Cricetulus griseus: one gene and its partner. The protein of the gene in region 2 interacts with the protein of the main gene of each other region in a pairwise test. Links are inferred from orthologs where the notes say so. Each region holds a gene or a part of one and is shown on either strand. Other genes may lie near its edges.

Region 1 (12,204 bases), on a different chromosome or scaffold from region 2:
CAAAACATTCATCTTCAAGTTTCATAAATATCTGTCATTCTAATTATAAAGTCTCTACATTTGCACATTTTCATAAACTAATGTAATACATATAACATTAACTCGGGGATGTTTCCTGTTAAGCAGTTAATATTACCTAGATCTGACATTCTCTTTATAAATACTCAAGGAAGCAAAGGATACTGTAACTTTTGGATCATATCCAAGCTTTAAGAAAAAATAAAATAAAATAAAAGCAGCAACTCCACAGAAGAAAGGGAGATGAACCCTTTACTTCCTTTTGCTTTTTGTATCAGTTGTTTGAAAAACACTAGAAGCAGACATGAGGTTTTCTATATATTGTCCAAGAACTTGATTTTCCGATTTTAGCTTCAGATTTTCTTCCTTAACTGCATCTACTCTTGCAGAAAGATCTATATTTAAAAAAATGCAATTATCAGTAAAATCATGGCAATGATTCCACATTATAAAATGCAAGATTCATTCAAAATATTCAAAAGGTGGAGACCAGGCTGGAGGTATGGCCCAGTGGTACAGCCCTTGTCTACAAGTGTGAAAACCTGGATTTGACCCCAAGCACTACCAATAAATACACAATTTGGAAAATCGAAATTTGGAAATTTTCTGTTTTTCAGTTCAGATTACTGGGGGTAAAGGCTTAAGTAAAGATGGTGAATGTTGACAGAGTTTCCCATGGGGCTCAGTCTGCAAAGAGCATTATGTTAACTCTTACAGTAGTTAGAAAACATTGTTTATAAAGGGTTCCTGTCCTACCATATGAAACTACAATGTCTTTACTGGAAATATTTAAGATCTGTAGCTTAACACAAGTGGACTCCTATGCTGGATATGAGATCCAAGCAGTGGTTAAACATCAGTTAAAAATTCGAAAGACGCAGGTCCTCATGAACAAGTAAAAAATTATCTCCATTCACACATTTAAAAATGTCTAATGATCAACAGGAGCAGGCATCATTCTAGAGGCAACAGTGAACAAGGTTATATGTGGGCGCATATGCATTCGGTAACACAGGCACCCAAGTGTCAGGAGTAAACATTAAGCATGTTGATACACTGTATGTCACACTTCTTCTAGAGAAAAAGTAAAATGACTAATGGTCATAAAAGCAGATGAGAAGTGCTTTTTTAGAGTTAACTATTTTGCTAAGAGTAATTAGACTAGAGGCCTGAAGGAACTGAGGAAATGAGCCACACAGACATGTATCTAAAGCAGGAGAGTTAAAGCAAAGGGGACAGCCAGATAACCTGTCAAATGAGAAGCTATTGTACATTTTGTGCCTCAACAAAAAACAATATTTAATGACACTGAATATCAGAAGCCAAGTCAGTAGTAGTAATTGTATGGAAGGAAGTCAGAAAATGAAAATAAATCTATGATCAATTGGAAACTCTGGAGGTCATGCTTCTTTTCATTTTAATAGAGCTTTCCCAAAACAGGCTCCAAAACACCCTACCAGATGTAAAGAGCTCTCATGCTAAGCCAGCATCCTGTGAACACCTTAAAGAGGACGCTCAAAAGCAGTGACTAATCTGAGGCATATTTGTCCTTTAGACAACCAGCCAGAAAGTAAGAGAAAACGGCTGGGGCCAGCAACATGGCTCACTGGGTAAGGATGCCCACAAGCCAAACCTGATTACCTGAATTCAGATCCATGATCCCTGTGATAGAAGGAGGGAACATTCCCACACATCAGCCTCTGACTTCACAGAGTGCCCCAGCAGGCACACCAGCCCACACTTACAAATAACAGTAACTTTTTTTTCTTTTTACAAAATAACAACAAAACAAAACAAAAACAAACAAAAAACCCACCAACTATTAACATGGACTTTGAAGTTAACTGGATGTCATTTACAAAAACTACAAAATTTACTCTAACCTTCAAGTGTGTGTTGAAGTTCCAACACCTGATTAATAAGTCGAGTCTTTTCTTCCAGTTCCACCTGATTTTCAGCATCAACTGCTGTAATAAAAAGTGTTAAATTTACTAATAACCACTGCCAGTTTTGACATGCAGCACTTAAAATTCTTCAGAACATTTTATAACCATTGTCTCAATAATTGTGTATACAGAACCTATACCTGAGGGCAGATGGGGCATTAAGCTGAACATGCCATACAGTTACAGAATTGAAGTCACCTTGGATAAATTCTACTGCAAATGGGAAAGTAGTCAAACCTAAACCTTCTCTGTGTAGCCCTGGCTGTCCTGAAACTCACCATGTAGACCAGGCTGGCCTAGAACTTAGAGATCCATCTGCTTCTGGCTCCTGAGTGTGGGACTAAAGGCGTGCGCCACCACTGCCTGGCTAACCTACACCTTCTAAAGATTGTTTCTCTGCTCTTTCCATTGCTTAATAAAGAAAAAGCATACAGAAAGGCAGAAACACACAGAAAACAGATTAAAGACCTTACCATCCATGTCAGCATTCATCATCTTGGGGAACAGACTTTCTGCTCTTGGATGCACACTCTTTGATGAATGGTCTGCAACAAGAAAAAGAAACAGACATAACAGTAAAATATAAGCTTGTTTTTCAAAAGACAAGGTAGTTAAAGGATGTGACCCAGAGGAACCCTTCTCAGGCCTTGCTGCTTTGAAGTGCGCATGGGGAGATAAGCAGAGGACTCAGAAACACTGTAAATCCTTTTACTAAGGACAATTAAAAGGGAGGAAAGGTAAACACATAAAAAAAATCCTTCAGAGACAGAATGTCCAGAGTACAAATGGAAAAGTGGACTCTCTGGCAGCTCTCAGTATGAAAGCTACCAAGCATCCTTACATAGCACTACTCCAGAACTGGAAAACTGAGCATGCTCCTGAACCACACGGAGAGCCTGGTTTCCACCACGGTTTACAGAGACTATCTGCACTTCAGAGAAAGTGAATTACTAGATTCTTTTTTCAAAATTCTTTTTTAAAAGTTATTCTAGCTATTATAGTATTTGAAGATCATACTTTAAGAATTCTTCTCATTGTCATGCAATAGTGGCACAGGCCTTTAATCCCAGCACTCGGGAGGCAGAGGCAGGTGGATCTCGGTGAGTCTGAGGCCAGCCTGGTCTACAAAGCGGGTTCCAGGACAGCCTCCAAAGCTACACAGAGAAACCCTGTCTTGAAAAAAACAAACAAATAAAAATTTTCATCAACCGAACAGATGTATGACAGGAATGTATATAAGGAAACTCTACTACATGCTAATGGTTTAAAACATATTCCTCTCCATGTAAACAACGTTCAAGTTTTAAAATGACAAAGCTGTTTTGTTTGTGTGTCTGTCTGTGTGCATGTTCACATGTGTATTTTTGTGCACATGTGGAGGCCACAAGTCAATTCTGGGTGTCTCCCTCAGTTCCTCTCCACTTATTTTTTTAAGACGAAGCCTCTGGTTGAACCTGGAACTCACCAAGTCCATCAGAGTAGTTTTAGAGCAAGCTGCAGAGGTCCACGCCACCTCCCAAGCACTGGGGTAACATGCACATTGCCACGCCTGTGAGTTGTGGGGTCACTGGATGCAGCATGTGCGCGCGCGCGCGCGCGCGCGCGCTCACACACACACACACACACACACACACACACACACACACACACACACACCTTACACAGTTAGTTTCTGACTTACCAGCTGCCCTAGCTCTGAGATTCTCTTCTCTTTGAAACTTTTCTTTGAAAATCACAGGAAATATCAGAGGCCTTGTGCACCTAGCTTGTTAGTGATTAGTCTGTAACCTTCTATACTTTAAATCCAGGAGTGGAAAGAGTAGAGAGAGTAAGGCTTAGGGGATATGGCAAGCACTAGGCCAGGATTAATTTAAACGACTGCCACACGCTCACACTGTACCTTCTAAGATGTTTAGCACAGTGATTAGACACAGGGCCAGAACTGAGTGGCCTAATCCACTTCACCAGAGTCAAGGCTATAGTCATGTCCATAGACGTGCCCAGTCTGTCCCTGTGCCCCCCCCCCATTTCACCTCAGCTCGGATTAAGTTTGACATTTCCCTAACACATCCATCCAAACACAGGACTATTCTGCTTTTGCATTCATGTTTTTCATATGTTGTCTACTTACCAGTGAGCCAGTGTTTTTAAAAAGTAAAGAGTACAATGCACTAAATTAATGAACTAAACACTTCACATATATAGTTTCATCAAAACAGAAGGAAACTGCAATTCACAGATGTGGATACTAAGCCTTCTAAAGGTCAGGGGCATTGCCTCCTGTTTCATAGCCAAGACATAATTACGGTCCTAATATCCTAATATGAGCTTGTCAAACGTTTTGGAAAATTCGAATTCTTTGGCATTTCCAAAAACTAAGCAACTAAGAATAAATGTCATTTGCTTCAAGCTGCTCCACTCGATTTGTTTCTCTGTCCATGTTCTGCTTTTGACATATTTTGGGTCTCAAATTCCATGAAAATCGAGGGACTATGCTCGCGGTCAATAAGGATTTCAAATTTAAGTTAGGCCTCCAGAGAGCTAGCTGCATCCAGTTTATCACTGAAGCATACAGCCACCAGGATCCCATGCACAGTTTGTTTGGACCTCAAAAACAGATAACGGTTTGGGAACATCTGTCCTTCCAACTACTACACAGTCAGAGTCTGGCAGTTACTCGGGAGGCAGAGGCAGGCGGATCTCTGTGAGTTCGAGGCCAGCCTGGTCTCCAGAGCGAGTGCCAGGACAGGCTCCAAAGCTACACAGAGAAACCCTGTCTTGAAAAAAACAAACGTCAGAGTCTGGTAGTTTATAACAGAAATCTTGGCTTTTCGGGAACGTATATCTTCTCCTTCCCAAACCTTATTCCCCAATATCTGTTCCACAGAATGCTTGAGAACAGCTGACAAAGAAACAAACCCAGGCCCAAGCAAAGATGTCCCACCCCAGTCAGGCGTGGACCACCACGCCTGAAACCCAATCCCAGGATTCAGGAGGCGGAGGCGGAGGATTGACGCGAGCTGAAAGGTAGCTGCGGCTGCAGTGCATCCTCTCCCACCACCTGGGTCCCCTCGCAGCCCCAAGGCGTCCAAGTCGGGCACCGGCAGGCTCTTCCCACGCATCCCGCTGCGTGCGGCCAGGAAGGAGGCTGCGTAGGGCTCGGCGGGGCGTCGGGCCTCGGGGCCCCGCGATCCAGCGCCCATACCGCCGCCCCGCCCCGCCCCGCCCCGCCTGCCGGGCCCCGGCGGTAACGAGGCTGCGAGTGCGGTCCCGCGACCCCAGCCCACGCCGCCCCGGGCCGCCTCACCTTGCGTCTGAGGCGCCGGGAGGGGGCGGGATGGGTAAGAAGCCTCAGGCCGCAGCTCTCGGACCAACTGACAGCAGCAGCTCCGCCCTCCCCGCCCACGGAGCGTGCGCCGAGCGAGGAGGCGGACTCCCACCAATCCCACCGCGAGATCGCACGCCTGCGCGTTGGCTGCTGGCCGCCCCGACCCCGCCCCTGGCGGAGCACCGGGGTCCACCTTTGCCCTAACAAAAGGGCATTGACGCCCAATCAAGATTGTTGGGTGTGTCTTGGAAAAGCAGCGACCAATCACAACGCAGAAGGGATGCCGCTCCAAAGAAGGCGAACCTCGCTGAGCAGGTTTTGTCTCGCCCGGAACCTGAAAAGTGCTTTTGGAAGTTGTTCCAGGTCATAGAATATTCTGGAGATTGATACAGCCACACTTTGTTCACATTCGAAGCAGAGTGAGCACAACAGTGCAGTCTGCCGTCCCTCGATCTAAAAGCACACTTTTCTTTCTTTTAATTTCTAAAATCAGAAAACGCATAAAGCATATACCATTAATGGATGTTTCTCTTCGTATCCCCGAATCCTGGACGATTTTTAAGCTCACAGTTAGCCTGATCACCTCATGATGCCTTAGGTCAGCATCGCCTGATCTCGTTCCATCTCACAGAAAACCTGAGACTTAAAAGCGTGTTTCTTATTCAGGGACAAATATACAACGTACTCGATACAGGGTTGCCATGTGGTCTTCTCATTCTAACCTAACCTTTGAAACAAAGTATCTTGCAGTTAGCACTGATTGACCACCAAGTATATCCCAACCTGCAAAGCGTCTTTGCTTTGACTTTAACAAAACCTGAGCTTAGAGACGAGTTTGCATATACTTTCTTCTCTCCCTGTCCCCTCCCACCCCACCCGCCTCTGTGTGTGTGTGTGTGTGTGTGTGTGTGTGTGTGTGTGTGTGTGTGTGTGTGTGTACACGCCTCACATAAGCTAAGCATTTCCTCTACCACTGAGTTGCAAAGGTGGTTATTTTAAAGAATGGTAAAATTTAAATTCAATGAAAGCCAGGGCCTCACTGTCCATACTGTAGACATTAAAGGTTACAAAGATGCTATGGCAGCCTTAGCATCAGGGTGCAGAACTTGGATGAAACTGACAGTTCTTTGAGAGAAAACACAACACAAAAGCTCACAGTAACAGATGACATTCAGAGCCCAGCTCTATTTTAAACTGTTCCCACAAAGGACATACAAGATCCAGGAGGATCTGTAGTAAAATTTTCCAAATATTTTAATAAAACTCAGTTCTGTAAAACTCTTCCAGGAAACACAGTAAGAGAGACCGTTCTCCAACTTATCTATCTGAAAGTCCATGAAGCACTGTGGTGATACATTATTTATGATTTATTAAAGCTGGCCTGGGGATTCAGAAAGCAAAGTCAGCCTCAAGCCATAGAAACCAGGCACACACCTTTAATCCCGGCAGCCAGAAGCTAGGAGATGGAGGTACACACCTTTAATCCTAGGACTCAAGATTAAGATTAAGGCCACCCAGATCTACACTAGGTTGATCCAGTCCTAAAGAGAAACAGCTCCTGCAAAAATGATCTCAGCACCTGAGATCACACACCTTTAATCCCAGCATTAGAGAGATATATAAGACAGGAGCAAGGTCTCAGTAACAGGCATTCATTCTCCAGACATAGTGAGGATAATTCTCCAGCCACATTGAGAATAGAAGACATTGAAGTCTCAGGATTCCCCAGCCATGCTGAGGAGAGGCAGCAGAATCAGCCCCTTCAGCCTGAGCTAATGGCCCACTATTTTGCTTCTCTGACCTTCAGCTTGAAGCTTGAACCCAATATCAGTCTCTGGGCCCTTTATTTATCACGTTACAGAGTACAAACTTGTGAAGGAGCAGAATGCATACCCAACATCACTTCAGCACTCACTTTTAAGCTGAATCAATGAGATCAATAATAGTGCTGGTATAAAGAGGTCACACAGATAAATAAAACAGGACAGGATCGGGAAAAAGCCCACATATTGACCCATATGGCCAACTGATTTCTCACTGTAGTACCAAAGTAATTCCATTGAGGGAACTTTGTCTTCAATAGCAGTGTTTGAACAATAGATATGGATAGGGGATAAGCCTTAACTCTGACCTCACAACATACAAAGTGTTAATACAAAATGGACATTGTCTAAAATGGAAGGTTAGACTATTTTTAGAAGACAGAGAAATCTTCACTAGCTTTGAATTGGCAAATACTTTTAAAGTCATAAAAAAAGCTATAAAAAATTCACTTGACAAAAACTAAAATATTTGCTCTTTGGAAAAATGAAAACGAAAGCTCACAGATTTGAAATGTTTGCAGTATATCATTTAACATACAGCTTGAGTTCACAATAGAAGAAGCCCAAGTTGAAGCTGTTAGCATGGTCAGGTGTTATATGAGGAAGAAATGATTCAGAATCAAGCAGAGAAGGTCCAAGCTCATTGTCATCAGGGGCTAAAGAGCTGGCTGAACAGTTAGGAGCCTGTCCACTCTTGCAGAGGACCCTGGTTCCGTTGCCAGCACTCATATGAAGGTTTACAACTACCTGGGAATTCCACCTCCAGGTGATCCAACACTCGCTTCTGTCCTCTGTGGACATTTCATGCAGGTGATGCCCATACATACCTACAAGCAAAATACTCATACACAAAAATAATTAACTCTTTTGATTTTTAAGTCACCCTGACCTGCCAGCCTGATACACTCTCGAGATGCACACAAAAACGTGCCTTCAGTAATTAAAGGGATCCTAACCACGCTGGATGTTTTAAAGTGAAATATGCTAAAGGGAGACATTTGGTACTTTAAATGGAGCCTGGTGTGTTCCCTGATACTTTAAACTCATGAATTCTCAAACCCTGCTTCATCTCGTTTCTTGATAAGAACTCACGTTTTCTTTTTTCTAATTCTTTTTCCCTTGCAAGGCTATTGAACTCACTGGAGAGCAAGCGCTGTCTTGAATTCAGTGACTAAAGACTGTACACTGCTTACTGAAATTTGATTTCAAAACTAGGTCTAAGAGCATATTTTGGAATAGAGTACTATACTTAGCATGAGCCATATTGTCATTTGGTAAATTAAGTTAGTTATGTGTACTTTTCTCAAGTTTGGCTAATTTATCAGTCATTTTCATCCATTTTTCAGGGCAAGTATAGAGGTTACCACTGCATTTTTTAGAGAGCTCTCCAAAGAATTAAAGATCTCAAGATCTACTTAGCATTAAACTTTGAACCTTAATGGGAAAAAAAGAAAATAATATGCTGATTTTTCCTCACATGTTTTTTAACCAGATTTTATTTTATTTACCTTTGTATAAGAAACACAACATAAGATATAAAAATAACATAATCAGCCCTTCATTTGCAGATGTACCTGCTTAGGACAAAGCCAAATTCATTAATTACTTCAATCCCTAATATATTATTGCCAAAATGTCAATGTTGTATGCAAATAGATGATTTGGAAAAACCTTGATAAGCAGTGCAACCAAGTTGCTGTGGTAGTGTGTGCCTGTAATCCCACAGACGGAGCCATAGGCAAGAAGTTGGCTCCAAGTTTGAGGCCAGCCTGGGCTACATAATAAGTTCCAGGCCAGCCTGGAAGCCTAAACATATTTCCTCAGCAGGTGATCTTTCACCACTCACAATTCCATGATCCTGTAACTCTCACAATCACACATGCACTCAAACAAACATACATCACAAATAATTTCAGGAAGGTAACACATTTCACTGAGTTTTATAGAAATAGTCTGTCTGGCTTTAAAGTCAAGATTAATCATTTGAGTATAGTAGCATTAAGAAAATTCTGGATTTTCTGTTTTGTTTTGTTGGTGGCCCACACCTTTAATCCTAACACTCAGGACGAAGAGGCATGCAGATCTCTGAGTTTGAGGCCACAGCCTGGTTTATATAGTGAGTTCCAGCATAGTCAGAGATATACAGAAAAACTGTGTCTCTAAAGAAAAAAAAGGAGAAAAAAGAGAGAGAGAAAAAAACTCTGTTTTTACTAAGCATAAGCTGTTGCCAGGCGGTAGTGGCACATGCCTTTAATCCCAGTATTAGAGAGGCAAAAGCAGGCCAACCTAGTCTACCGAGTCAGCTCCAAGAAGGCCAGAGTTACACAGAGAAACCTTATCTCGGAAAAACAGAAAGTAGGAAGTGATGCTTTGAAGAGCACAGAGAAGCCAGGGTTACAGAGTTACAACAGAATGGTCCCCAGTGGCTCTGAATGCCACCTGGCTAAAGGGCCTTCTTCAAATTGCCCTAACTGGTAGCTGTCTGTTCTCCCAGTCACCCTTTAGGAGAAAGGGGCCAGTCTGGGGGCTTCCCATTTTCTGTCAGGATCTGGGATCTTCAAACTTACAAGCTGATGCATCTCTTGTTTTACAGATGTTGGCAGATGATGAGATGTCCGGGTCAGAGTCTCAGCCTCCACCACTCAACACCCCACCCCTGCATGAACTTCATTCTGGGTTGCCCCCCATCCCCCACACCCAGAGTCTCAGAGTGTGGGGAGGCTGCAGTAGTGCTTACATATGCAGCATGCTGTGATGCAGGGCCAGAATGTGGAGACTGAAAATCTTTTGCCTCTATGGAAAGTGAAGCAAGCTTTTCCTGAACCAGGGCCAGTGTTTCCCAGGCACTGACTGGTGCACTGAAAACACACTCCATCAAATCCAGGAAAGGAATTCACGCTCTTGGCATGCCCACAAAAAATACAGTACCCCCAGGGTCCATGGCAACATCTCTCTCAGGAACCTCCTACCTGGGTTGTCTTCATTTCTGTGGCAAATTCCTGCCCCCAACCCCCTGCATTATACAACATCTCCAGGGAAATGTCTGTGAATGCCTCAGGAAGCCTGGGTGGGTTTCTTCTGGTCAAAAGAGAAGAAAGTCCACAGCTGCAGAAGAAGATCGTCGGCAGGAGTTGGGACCCTTGAGGAATGTCTGCGGCACAAACAGGGCATTTCACAGCTTACTTCAGACCTCCTGTTTTACTACTTAACCTAACTTCTCCATAGTTCCCAGTAAGAACAAGAGCTGGGGAGAGAGCTCAGGTGATTGTTTACCGTGCTAGTATGAGGACTTGAGTTCAATTCCTGTGACCCATGTGAAAACATCCAGATGTGGTTGGTGGTGAACGCTTGTAATTCCCTTGTTGGAGGATATGAAGAGGACCAAAACTCCAGGGTTTGCTGGTCAGTCTAACTGAACTGGTAAGTCCCAGGCCAGTGAAAGACCTGTCCCCAAAATACAAGGTGTGGTAGTGAAGGGACCAGCTCCCCATTTCGGCAGCCATAACATCCGAACTCATGCTTGTCTGACCTTGTCTTAGTCACTAAGGTCAGATGCCTGGCCCTTTTGGCAGCCATGACAATAACATGTGCTTTTCTTACCTTGCCTTGGTCACTAGAGGTTAGGTGCCTGTCTCATGACAAGGAACCAATCAGAAGTTAGCTGGTGGTGCTATGCTTTACAGCTCTGGGTGTGTTTTACAGACAAGCACACAGCAATGATGCACAGAGCATAGCAACCACCCTGGGAGGGCCTATGGGCCATAACAACCAGTTGGCCAATCAACACAGGGCAAGCCCTCCAAGCCTGGACGCACACCAATCCTGAGCCTGTGCATCCCCTAGACACTTCCCTTATGCTGCCCTACAAAATCTCTCTGCAGCCGGTTCGAGCTGTCTTTGCTAGCCATCTGCCATGGCAGGTGGATGAAAGACCCGAGCTAACATGGGGTTAGCTCATTAAACAACAATAAAGCCTCATGCTGTTTGCATCAAGCTTTTGAATCTGCCTGGTGATTGGGGTGACCGAGGTCCTGGGCTGAGACCCTGGAGGCCTGAGTTTTCCAGGCTGTAGTCATCCTAAGGAATGACTCCCAAGGTACACCTGTGTCCTCTACAAGCACAGTCACTCATGTGCATGGGCATCACACACACACACACACACACACACACACACACACACACACGTACACACACTCACATACACACACTCACATACACACACTCACATACACACACTCACATACACACACTCACATACACACACTGTGGGGGACCAAAATATTTCCACTATGGAATATTTTGAGATCCAGCCTTGGGTTTCACTAAACAGGAACACCAGAAAGCTCAGGCCCACTATTGTATTGTTAATGCCAGTAAGGCTACTATTGTTTACCATGGCCTCAGGATAATATGCCTCCTAATTTGCATCTCTATGCACCTAAGCATCTGAATAGGCCTGTACCTGGGCAGGGGGACCATAGGAGTGTGAGTAACATGTGAGGACAGAAGGTTAGGAGCGAGTGTGCGACCAGAGAGGAGAGAACAAAGACAGAAATGGTTCCCTCGTGGTAATGAAAGGATAGTTAAGAAACTGCAGTAAAGATGGAAAATAAAGAAATGACTCTAGTTCTACAACATGGAACTGAGAGCTCTCTAAAAATGACAAGATGCCTGTGTTTGGTCTTCATCTCCGCTGGGTTGCTAGGAGTTTCCAGGTCCACACCCCCCCACTCAGGCCAATCCTAATGTGTTAAGGTTGAGACATGCCGGGTCACGACAACACACACATGCACACAGACACATACACATACACACACACATACACACATACTGTAAGACCCCCGGAAAGCTCAGGCCTCCAGGATCTCAGCCCAGGACCTCGGTCACCCCAATCACCAGGCAGATTCAAAAGCTTGATGCAAACAGCATGAGGCTTTATTGTTGTTTAATGAGCTAACCCCATGTTAGCTCGGGTCTTTCATCCACCTGCCATGGCAGATGGCTAGCAAAGACAGCTCGAACCGGCTGCAGAGAGATTTTGTAGGGCAGCATAAGGGGAGTGTCTGGGGGACGCACAGGCTCAGGATTG
Region 2 (12,696 bases):
TGAATACTGCTAACACAAAAAAGCAAATTATTTTCTTATTATTGAGAATAAAAAATTGCCCATATAGATCCCATTTTATAATAAGGATAATCTAAAGAGTACTTCTAAAAGCTAAATTTTACTCAGTCACGGAAAGAATACAGCACCAAAATGGCAAAGATAAATAATACTAGTTTCCCAGGTTAAAATTTTTCTTAATTATATACCACCTAAAAGAGTAACATGATTGCTTTGATATAATTCTTGCACATTTGTTTTTCAGGGACACCAGGCATACTATAATCTTTCTGTGGAGTGGAGTTCTAATTCAATTCTATTCAACAAAAGAATAGCCATAGCATGATACATGATTGACTGATTGATTACCACTTGTCTATTTTAATATACTGAGTCTTTCCAGGTAAAGCCTTTTACATTCAGTCCTAGTATTAAACGGCAAGTCTTTACTAGACACGAGCATGGCCACAGCATTACTCTGGCATTGAAAACAGCATCCGAAGGACAACAAAAGGAGTGGAGTTACAGAGTAAAAACAACCGAAGATTTATATTTTATTCAATGAAGCTGGATCAGAGTGCTTGATTCATGGTGCTAATGTGCTTCTTTTCCAAACTATGAAATGAACTGTTTTATGCGACTCTTTTAGCATGTCAATAAGAAAATATACCCATGGGTCCCTTCAATCCACACAAAAAGAGAAAAGGAATTAAAACAAGGCAAAATTTCCATCGTGGTTTCTGACTTCACAGTCTCAGTGATAAGGTTATTTGCTCGTTTACTTACTCCACAAACAGGCTACACAGCCCTCACTAAGTGTCAGGCATAGAGACAGTTACTAGAAAGTCACCATCTAATGACAGGCTCAGAAACATGCTTAGTAAAACAGCACAGTGATGATTTGAAAGACACATGGACGCTGCGCTGTGGGGACTAGCGCCCATGAGATAATAGCGCTAAACTCCATGGGACAGGAAACAAACCCTATAAACATGTGCATGTCTCCACAGGGCTCTCCAGATTCCACACAGGAGTGTGTTTTCTTCCGTGCAAGGATTTAGGCCATGGCAAAGTAACCATCTGTCAGTGATGCTGTAGGTGGGGTTTCTCCCCATCTGAGACACTGGATTAAGTGTCCTTTAAAGATCCTTCCAACTCTAAAATTGTATAATTCCATGAGCTCAGCAAAGGCTAAAACAGTAATAGGACGTTTAGGGGGTGAGGTTGGGGGAGGGGGGACTTGGACAAAGCCCCAAATGACAGCTAGGCCCTAAATAAACAAAAGATAGAATGAAAGCTATCTAGCTACTGTCCTGTTTAGTACATGTATGTCAGGTCAGCCTGCAAAGCTTAAAGAGGTTAATGACAGGGAGAAGCAGTGAGGCTACGAGAACTCTGGCAGACAGAGCCAGAATTCCATATTCCACTAGAAATTGAAAGCAACAGGCTTTTCCACGTCAAATATTTAAGAAAAATCATTTCATGAAACATTAACAATGCTATTTAACATACTGACAGCCCCACAGCACAATCACACTTAATGAAATAGAGTGTGCCAGGGGATCTGACATAAGCTTACATTGTTCTCTGCTGAAGAACTGAAAACAGGGTGAATGTGAGATTTAAATAATTTGGCTATGGGGCTCATCATCTTTAAACAAATGTAACTCTGTGAGTGTCTACTTCAAACCATTCCCTTTTCTGGCCCCTAGCCATGGCATCACTGTGCTCACATTGTTACATAAGATATCTTCATGTGGCAGTCAAAAATCAACAATGGGAAGGCATCTGGGTGCTAAAGTGGGGAGACACAAGCATGAGGACCTAAATTCAGATCCACAACCCCCACATGAAAGCCAGGCACGGTGGTGTGTAACCTGTCATCCTAGAGCCAGGAAGAGAGATGGGAGGATACCTGGGGCTCGATGGTTGAATCTGAATTAGTGAGCTCCAGATTCAATAAGAGACCTTATTTCAAAAAATAAGGCAGAAAATAACTGAAATGAATACCCGATGCCACCAGATAAAGGTACAAAATGTACATATGCATGCATGTGCACACGCTCCAACACACCTGAGTGTATGGATACATATATGCACACAAAAACTCAAGAACAGAAATGGCTTTTAATGGTTCCCCAGTACTCACAGGAATGTGTGTCATGCCTAGCATCACTAAATTACATAACTGCTGATATTCCAGTACCCCAAATATATTAAATAAATAAAAGGGTAGGAATCTGACTGATCTCGCCATATCACAGTTTGGTTGTATAAACAGAAGGAGATGGAGATCGTTGGTGAGAGAATTTAACGGCCATGCAAAAATAAACACATGAGGAACAGCAGGACTGCACCAGCAAAGAGACAGCAGTGAAAACAAGATAGCAAGAATGGGCCGGCCAGCCAGTAGCTTGAAAATAAGACGCTGTCCGTCCGTTCCACAAACTTGTCCCACTATCAGCACTGGCTCTGCAGCCGCTCTGGTCCAGCTCCTCACTTACCCCTTTCTCTGAGAGGTTCAGAGTGAGCAAATGCAAAGCCCTCGTATGGGACGACTTCCAGTCTACAGGCATGACATTCCCATAATTATCTGTCAGGGCATTCCAAATCCTTAAACAGAAGAAAACAGCAATCAGTGAAATGGAACACTCCTCATGGCTTTTTTTTTTAAAATCCAGTACTACTGTTAAGGGACCCAGAATAAGAGTCGGTAGGGGGCGAGGGAGGATGGAAGGGAGAGGGAACTGGGACTGACATGTAAAACAATCTTGTTTCTAATTTAAATAATAAAAAAACATGTGCAGATGGTAGAAGGGAAACTTTGAAAAAATTTAAAAAAATAAAAGGTGCATTGTTTCTTAGAAAAACATCGACAAAGCTAGAGTCATGAAAAATCACATAATCAGATGGACTACGCACAGGATACTGTTCAGTTTATAGGACACATACACAGAAGGATGACAGCACATAAACACACACACACAACGAGCGATTAAATGTAAAAAAAAAAGTGTAGATAAACGAGATATAGACTCAACACATACACACGAAAGTATACGAATTCATTTCATCCTCAAAAACATTAGAAGCAGAAACCTTTATTATCTTCATTTTCCAAGTGAAGAGCCAGGAAACACAGAAAACTGCAGTATTATCTTCAGAAACACAAAGTAAACATGCTGTGCTTTCCAAAGACATGCTGTATTTTCTAGAACAAGGATTCAGTCTCAGTGTGAGAGCAGGGATTCATATCTATTTGTAACGTAACAGGATAAGGACTGGGGCTGATGAAAGTTGAAAGAGTGAGAGGTCACATAAATTCAGGCAAGTTATACAGTCAATGCAATTACCACTTTCTTATCAAACAGCATCTGAGGTAGGGAGATGGGGTAAAACAAAGAGGCACTGAACTCAGACTCAGGAAACAGATTCATATATTCATTTTCCCTTGGCCAATCTTTGGCCAAGTTCCTTAAACTGCCTGGGTATCAGCTGCCCAGCCACAAAAAGAAGCTTGGACATGAAGTAGGCACCTTTTCTAGTTCCAATGAACAAAGAGGGTAGACTTCAGGATCAAAAGCCAGGGTTTGGTACAAAAATAATAATCACCATAGTAAAACATGATGCTTTATTGGGGGGAAGGAGCCTAAATTCATAAGCATCAATAAGATGAAATTTAAGTAGGGTAAGTGAGGTTAAACACTACACATCTGAGCTACTTCCTAGGAGACTACACTAACATGTCACCTTTGTTATGTTAAAATTTGTAAAAGGTATCTAATTGTAAATAATAATAAATCATGAAATAGTTAGATAAGCCTTTTTTTTCAAGTTGGTCAGCAATCAGGATAAAATCCTAGCAAGGGCAAAAACATAACAAGGTAAGTTTAAAATTGCCAAAGTGAGCTGGAGAGATAGCTCATCGGTTAAGAGCACTGACTGCTCTTCCAGAGGTTCTGAGTTCAATCCCCAGCAACCACATGGTGGCTCACAACCATCTATAATGGAATCTGATGCCTCTTCTGGCCTGCAGGTGAAAATGCAGATAGGGCACCATATGCAAAAAAAAAAAAAAAATTAATTTAAATAAAATAAAAATAAAACACAACTGCAGCAAAGAAATAACACTTCTTTTAGCCAGGTGGTGGTGCTCTCTGTGAGTTCAAGGCCAGGCTGGTCTACAGAGTGAGTTCCAGGACAGCTAGAGTTGTTACACAGAAAAATCCTGTCTCAGAAAGAAAGAAAGTAGAAAAAAAAAAAAAAAAAAAAACTTGATTTAATAAACAAGGATTCTATGCTTAAGAATAGAAGTTTCCAGACGTATAACATCCCAAGGGGTGTGTGGCTTCCAAACCACAAGAAAAACATGAACCCAAAAAGCTCTACAAAGTGGGGTCTATCACCCTACAAATATCCCCTATGTAAGGCTCCCTCAGACTGCATCATAGCTGGAACCTGATGTTCTCTAGTGTCAATGAACCAGAACTGGGAACAAGGGCAGCTACTGGCTGATGGTAATGGGAGTTACTTACTATCCTGGGTCACAACTTTCAAACCCTAACAGCTGATTATATCCCTAACCCTGGCCAAGGACACAGACTATTCTAAAAGGTGAGGAGTCCCGGGTTTGGAAGAGTTGTTTTGTCTGTTGGTCACACCCTTCTTACAAAAAGCTGTAAGACAAAGATAGTGGAGTACCTCTCCTACTAGGAGCAGCTGTGGGTTCCAGCTTCCAAGAAAACAGCACAATAAACAAGGCATTCTCTCTCCCAAGGTCAGAACAATTGCAGCTAGAAGGATATAAGGCCAACTTCCCCTAAGGTTTCCCGAACTCGCCAGTCAAGACATCTGAGCTGCCTTGTCTTTATCATAAACACTGTGACCTGTCATAAATAGCTGGTGGAAGCGCTCCCTCCCAGCCAAAGTCCTGTGTACAGTGGCTCCAAGGGACAATGTCCTGAAGCTCTCAGCAGATGAGTAAATCCATAATGACAGAAACTGAAAGCAAAGCTCAAGGAAGTTAAGTAAAAATCCAGTCATGGTGGGAAGCGGACAAAGGGATTTTCTGACTGTTGAAGGAAGCTGGAATGGACCCTATAAAGCAAAAGTATACCAGAGAAAGGAGACAAAAAGGAGTGAGCCCTGGCTCTTAAAAGGTTTGCTATGCATCCCCAATCAGGAGACATGCACTCTCACCAACACAGCTCCTATCAGGAGCAACCAGGCTAAATTTATAGCACAAATGCTAAATGCTTGCCCGGCATGTATGAGCCCTGGAATCCAACCCCAGCAACACAGAAAACTGGGTGTGTTGGTGCATACCTGTAATCTCTGCACTCAAGAGGTGGAGGCAGAAAGATCAGGAGTTCAAGGTCAACCTCATCTCCAAAATGAGTTTGAAGCTAGCCTGAGCTACATGAGACTCTATCTCCAAATTGAGGGAAATGGGTAACAAAAGGCTTAGTTTACTGGTTTATTCCAGGAATTCCAGCATTTGGAGGGCAGCAGGAAGGTCAGGAGGCCAAGGTCAGCCCTAGCTTCATAGCAAGTTCAAGGCCAGCCTGGACTACAAGAAGCAAAACAGGAAAAGCAACAAAATAGTTTAGATTTTACAGCCACCTAAGTTTGAAGGACAGGCTAAAATAAACTTTGCAGAATGTCCAGCTGAAGCAAAAATAGGTACTCTAAGAATCTCAGTACCAAGCCACACTCATCTGCTTTAAGTTACTCATGAGGCTGGGCGTTGGTGGCTCATGCCTTTAATCCCAGCCCTCGGGAGGTAGAGGCAGGCGGATCTCTGTGAGTTCAAGGCCGGCCTGGTCTCCAGAGCCAGTGCCAAGATAGGCTCCAAAGCTACACAGAGAAACGCTGTCTTGAAAAACCAAAAAAAAAAAAAAAAAAAAAAAAAAAGTTACTCATGAATATAACCTTAAAACCCAGAATATTCAGTAAGTCTCAATAATTAAAGTGTATAAATCCACAAATAGATGAAGCTATTATCTTCTCTGGGAAATTCCACACAACTCACCTTTAGTTACGAACTGCATGCTCATCTCTTTGTTTTAAACCCATCATAAACTTAGCCCTCCTCTGCCCTTGGGCAACAAGAATGATAAAAAGGAACGGTGTTGGAATGAAGCTCTTCAACCATGTTTACATATGCCCTCTCTGTGTGTATGTTTGCTCTTTCTTGACAAATATCCTAATTTTTGAGGAATTAAAACTTTTTTTCATGAATCCTATCATCATTCAAGAATTCCTCACATGGCTTGGTCCCTAAAGGTGGCTGCCACCGAGAAAAACAAGGGGGTGGGGGGGGAGACCATCCACAAGTGGCCGTTTGACTTCCAAGTATGTGCCACAGCAGTTGACAGGCTTGCTACACCCACCCTCACTCACACAAGGACTCACAAAATTAATAAAATGTAATAAAAGTGTTTGTATTTAATTTTCCTCCCACTAATCTCTAGTCCCTCCACATCTTCAATGCCTGGAAACGGTCCCAGCCATCACCTTCTCAGAGTCCTTAGTGTCCATATGGCTTCTAAAGGGCCTCGTCTCTCTACAAACAAAACACTCCAGCTTGCTGGCTCTCACCACTCTTTCTTTCAGCTATCTGACAGGGGAAAAACTACGGTACATAATTGCAACTCTCACTTAACCAAACGATAATTGGGGTTCAAGGTGTTTAAATAAAGTGCTCTCATCAACCCCTGTGAATGTCCTCACTGAAACTAATCATATACAAGATTCTGTAGCCATTGCAGGCCGTGCACTAGTCTTCTCGATTACACTATCGGGTCCTTGTCATTAGTAACTGCCGCCCTTCACTTTTTGCCTCTGTGGCAGTTTGCTCTTATGGTCCCAACAGACTTGTGTGACTTCAATGGTACCTCACTCCCCTGCACCTTGGCACCTAACTCCACCAGAATTCAATTTGCGGGTTCTCTATAAAGTCTTCATTCGGACATCCCCTTTGAAATAAATCATCCATATCCGGTACAAACATCCATCAAAGCACTCATCACACTCATAAAACATGTGTTTAACAAATCCATGTCCCATCCCACTCGGTGTCCTCTTTGAAAGGAGCAATGCACACTTTGGCAATGGCAGTGCCAAGCCCTTGGCAGGGGTTTTAACAGAAGTGAGTTGAATGAATGAATGAATGAATGAATGAATGAATGACCCACACATGCCCCAGGAGGCAGGATCTCCCACAAGTAAACACACAGGGAGCTGCAGGGGGTGATCCAGGGAAGGCAGGGGCAGCGGGCTTTTAAACTCCAGCTGACCAGGCCGGCAGCTCGGAGCGGGGCGGGACGGGACGGGGCGGGCGGGGGGCGGGGCTGGGAGAGTCCCCGGAGGAAGGAGGGCGGGGGGCGGGGCCTGCTCGGACTCCCGGGGCCACGGGGACAGGGCGAGGTAGGGACGGCTCCCGCCCGCTCCGGGGCCCGCACTCACTCGTCCCCTTGCAGGAGGCTGTGCTCCGTGATGGGCCGCACGGTCGCCCGCGGGGACTCGGCGTCCTTCGAGGGGCGGAAGCACAGGCTCAGCTTCTCCTCCAGGCTGCAGGCCAAGGCCGGGAAGCTGTCGCCGCCCGCGGGTGCCCCAGCTCCGGCCTCGGGGCTCGCGTTACAGTTCTCCTGGTCCTGGACGCTCCGGGCCGGCTCCTGGAACTCATAGAAATCCTGCCAGTCCCCATCCGCCGCCATCGCGCCCGCTACCGGCCCGCACCCCGCCCCGGCCGGACGGCCACGCCCTCTGGCGCCGCCCACTCGAGGCCACGCCCCTTACCCGCCTGTTCTGGGGTGAGTGAGTCCAGAATCTTCATTTCCTGAGTCTTTTGGAGCTGAGCACCAGTTCCCAGGGGAAGGAAGAGCTTAACTGAGTTGAGTCACTTCCTATGTTCTTGATCATTTAGAAATAACGTCCCTCAGCGTCCCTGGCTAAAAGTGGCTAAAAGGAAGATTGTTTTAAACCTAGTGTCAGATTTTTTTTTGCTCCAAGGGAACTCTCATAACATTCCATCCAGAATGACAAGAGGTACTGGCAAATATTTAAGTGGTAACCGAAATTCATTCCACAAATATATCTCACCCACGTGCAAAGCATATACTAGCTTCAGCTAGTATATGATTGTGTAATTCATGATTGTGTAAGTGAGTAGTATTCTCGAAGAATTTGGAAAATGCCTGAAGAGTAAATACCCATCTGCTTGCTCTCCAAGGGCATTCCCTTATTACTGTAGCTGGAGTGTTAAGGCTAAGTGAATTTTAAATCTTGTAAAAGTGTGACTGAGGTATGGGAAGTTTTTGTTTCATGGATATAGCATCTCTGTTTTGCAAGTTGAAAAGATTTATGGACATAGAGAGTTGCGATGGTTGTATGCAGTATGGATATACTGTGCCCTGAAGATGACTAGAATTGCAGTTTTATGTGCATTCAACTACAGTAAAATTTAGGGAAAGTAGGTAGAAGCATTAAATGACTAGGAATTGACAAAACCCGTATCTCTTAAAATGTGTCATTCAGGGGGTGAAACATCAGTAAATAATATATTATAAAACGTTTTATATACCCACATACTCAAAATTCTATAAAATTTTATTGGGCATCTCTATTTACCATCGGACTTGTTTTTATGTGTGATTAAATAAAACAATGAATACAAAATGTCTAATAAATTTCCTAGCATATAGTATTTTCCCCCTTGGTCAAAAGGAGGTATGCAGTAGCATCTTGCCTTGCCAGTGAACTTGGTGGTAGTGGCCACACCCTTTGGGCATGGTTTTCAGGTGCAGATGTGACCCTTTCATTATAAGGTAGAGGAGGGGCTGGCTAGCACTCTTTTGGGTTGCAGAGAGATCTAAAGGGCAGAGACTGCATCTTCTAGAGCAGGGAGACCTCATAGGTTATTTACTCTTATCTGTGTAAATGCTTACCTAATAAATACCTATTTGTCATTTATGTTGAGTCTGGTGAACTCATTTAAACCCCGCCTTCAGAGGTGGAGAATGGTTGACGTGTAAGAAGACATCCAGTAGGAGACCCATTTCTGCCCAAGCTGTGGCACTATTCATGTCCACCCACCCCTTCTTCAGAGTCCTTCCACTCAGCCTATCTTAGAAACTATCCAGTCTCAAGTTCCTGTTCCCTGCACTCCTCCACTTAGTATTTCCTCTCAACAGTCTCACTCTCCTTCCTGACAACACTCCTACCCCTCAACCAAATTTGAGCTTCCTTCACTGCCACCCATCTGAACAAAGGAGCCCCAGCCTCAGGTGTAGACAGCCCACCAGAACCCAGAGGCCTCTGAGGAAAAAGCAGGCCTCCTTTAACCATGTCGTACAGCCCAAGTCTACCAACTGACTCACTCAAACTTATTTATTTTATACCTACTATCTCCTACCAGCTCCTAGAGGCCCTATGAAAATGAACATTTGATAGATTAAGAAAAGTCAGGTGGTGGTGGCACATGCCTTTAATCCCAGCACTCGGGAGAAAGAGGCAGGTAGATCTCTGTGAGTTCTAGGCCAGCCTGGTCTACAGAGCTAGTTCCAGAACAGCTATGGTTATTACACAAAGAAACCCTGTCTCGAAAAACAAAAACCAAGCAAGCAAACAAAAAAGTTAGCTTGTATATGTACCAATAATAATGAAAGAAAAATAGGCCATAAATTTGAGGGCGGGACAACCGAGAGGGGAAAGCTGTAAGGTTCTAAATTAAAACTAAATTTAAAAAGAAAAAAGTTATCTGAGAAAAATAACTTATAGCACTTGGTTCAAAATTAGGGAAGACAGAAAAACAGCTTCATGGTACTTGAGTGATATGTTCACATAAAGACTGAGTGGAAACATCTCAGATTTACAGTGCATTGAAATTTATGCATATCACATGTCCTGGTGAAAACTTACAAACATTGGACAAGTATATTACTTAGCATGTAAATCACCTAAACATACAATTAATCTGAAAACATAAAACAAAAGAGAAAGGAAATATGGGTTTTCACAGAGACTGGGAAACCCAGGAGCCTTCATGGGTCTGCGACAGGATCTTGCTTACATACTGTGATTGTTTAGCAAAGAGGTGGGGGTGTGGGGGGTTTGTGGGACCCCTAACAATGGGAGTGGGGGTGTCTCTCTGACTCTTTTGCCTGCTCTTGAGACCCTTTCCTCCAACATAGCGGCCTCATTCAGCCTTGATATGAGGGTCTATCCTCGTCTTGCTACTTCTTATTCAGCTGTCATGAGTTTACATCACTGGGTGGGCTGCTCTTTTTATGAAGGGAAATGAAGGAACAGTGGGCATGATGAAGAAGGAAGGTGGGGGGAAACTGGGAGGAATGGAGAAGGGGAAATTGCAGTTAGGATTATTGTATGAATGAAGACTAAATAAAAAGAAATTTGGAAATATATGTATACATATACCTGTGTATATATATACCAAAAATGTCTAGTCAACAAAGTACCATGCTGAGCAGATGCTAAAGGCTCATAAAGAAACAGAGAAGAAGGTCTATAAATGACATTTTCTAGAGAAAAACTCAAAATGGCTAAGTTTACTTAGTAATTACAAAAAGAGAAAACAGATAAAGACAGACAGACCAACAAGTAGACAGAGAAGAAAATAAAAATAGAAAGAACAGAAATCTATATTGACCCATGAATTTAAGGAAAAATTGTTTACTTGTCAAAATTGAAAAATGGCTTCTTTCAATTCGTTTCCCTGTTTAAAATCTTTTGAGCAGTCCAAGACCACACACAAAGAAGCCATATTTTTTAAGAAGTTGGAAATGTTAATTTACCCTGATTTGATTATCACCAAATGTAAGCATTTATCAAGTTACTACATTTTACTCCACAAATATGTATGTATTATATGTCAATTAAAACTAAGACCACACACAATCTAGCATGTGTTAATAAAGAGCATTCGTTACATAAATTAACTTTACTGCAAAGTAATAAACCATTAATAAAATAGAGTATTGGCATTGGTGAGCTTGAGTTTTCAGAACACTGGAAGCTATAACTCCAGTGTTAGAGTTATAGAGAAGAAATTCAATGGAGCTGGGACATCTCTTTGGCCCATTCAAGAAAGAAAGAAAAGACTCCCACTGTCAAGAAACCAAAGAAGCCCACTCCCTATTCATTTGGGGGTGGGGTAGGAAATAATTTTCTTCTAAATTGCACTAAGTACAATGACAAATTAATACTAAGTGGCATCTGGGTAGAAGGGGAGGTCTGGAGACAAGTGGCATCAAAGTAGACACCAGTGGGTCTCTAAGAGAAACTGATAATTCAGAGGAGTCTAAAGCAGAAGAGAAGCCAAGCGGCTGGGACTAAAGCTCCATGAGGTCCAGGGAATGCAGCTCTTCATTGGAGGACTACAATTGGAATTTTCTTTGTGCTGCCAACCAGCTTCCCAAATAAAGACACAGAGACTTATTATTAATTATGAAGGTTTGGCTTTCATTCTGTATATCCTACTTTCCTGCTTCCTTGTCTGGCTGGCTGGTCCCCAGCATCTCCTTTTCTTTCTTCCCTGAGCCTAAACGCCTCCTCCTGTGTACTATCCCTGCCTAGAAATTCAGCCTCTGTCTCCGCCCTCACTGTTGGCCGTTCAATACTGCCACACCAAAATAGACTCTTCAAATGGTCTGAACCTAAACGGACATACTATTGAAGCCAGACAGCAATTGGATCCACAAAAGCAAAACAAAGTGGACTGTTAAGATAATTGTTTGTGTAATTTAAGCAAACAAGTAATTACTCAATTTTCTGCTCAATTTGACTAGGATAGACACAGAAGTCACTAACTCTTTCTAATTTAGTAATACAGGGTTCAAGCTAGGGGGGCTTTGTAAAGTCCTTGCTGTGCCATTTAAAGAAAGAAACCTTAGTCTTCTCCCACATTGTGGGGAGAAACTTGTAACCCTCAAGAGACTATTTGCTGTTTGAGAAAGCGAATCAGTGTGTCTCTGAAGTCTCACGGGATGGGAAACTTACAAAAGTCCTGAATTAACACCAGACTCCGAATTTTAATAGCTCATTCAACTCTATGAACCTTAGTGGGGTTCCAGGAACCCCCTGAGTTGTGTTTTTATACATCTACACCACTGAGTCTTCACATGCCGGATTGAAAGAGCATTCTCTAGGATACATGTGCCCAGACTGCCAGCTAATCCCAGCCGCAGCCATTTCCTCTTGTTCTGGGATGATCTACATCCCTTGAAACTCATATGCAGGCCGGGCGGTGGTGAAACATGTCTTTAATCCCAGCACTCAGGAGGCAGAGGAGGCCAGCCTGGTCTACAGATCGAGTTCCAGGACAGCCAGGGCCACACAGAGAAACCCTGTCCTGGAAAAACAAACAAACAAAACCAAAAAATCTCAGATGCAGAACCTCTCAGACTGGATGGATATCTCAGTATTTGAAGATAATATTTTAAAGATGACTAAGGTAGAGTGAAGCCTTTAAGGAGGCCGTAGTCCAGTCCAGCTTTATTGAAAAATGGTATTTGGGCCCAAAGAGAAACCCCAAGGGTGCACAGGCCCCGAAGGAGACCACACAAAGGCAGGGTGAAACGGAGGTAAGAAAACACTGCTAGCCCTGCGCGCGCTTCAGTACTGGACCTGCAACTTCCAGAAGCAGGGGGAATACATTGTTATGGTGTAAACCACCCATTA

What was found.
Region 1: the proteins of Fez2 (region 2) and Scoc interact in binary tests that used the Homo sapiens proteins (3 or more experiments, as listed by UniProt). The link is inferred for Cricetulus griseus from reciprocal best matches to the Homo sapiens genes FEZ2 and SCOC.

Annotation. Positions count from the first base shown.
Region 1 is NC_048596.1:159,070,865-159,083,068, forward strand, and holds part of Scoc (short coiled-coil protein), read right to left. Parts: intron 5,464-12,204; coding exon 5,272-5,463; intron 2,510-5,271; coding exon 2,438-2,509; intron 1,986-2,437; coding exon 1,902-1,985; intron 414-1,901; coding exon 271-413; 3' UTR 1-270. UniProt on the Homo sapiens protein: Positive regulator of amino acid starvation-induced autophagy.
Region 2 is NC_048600.1:5,604,333-5,617,028, reverse strand, and holds the start of Fez2 (fasciculation and elongation protein zeta-2), read right to left. Parts: upstream 7,763-12,696; 5' UTR 7,716-7,762; coding exon 7,465-7,715; intron 2,611-7,464; coding exon 2,502-2,610; intron 1-2,501. UniProt on the Homo sapiens protein: Involved in axonal outgrowth and fasciculation.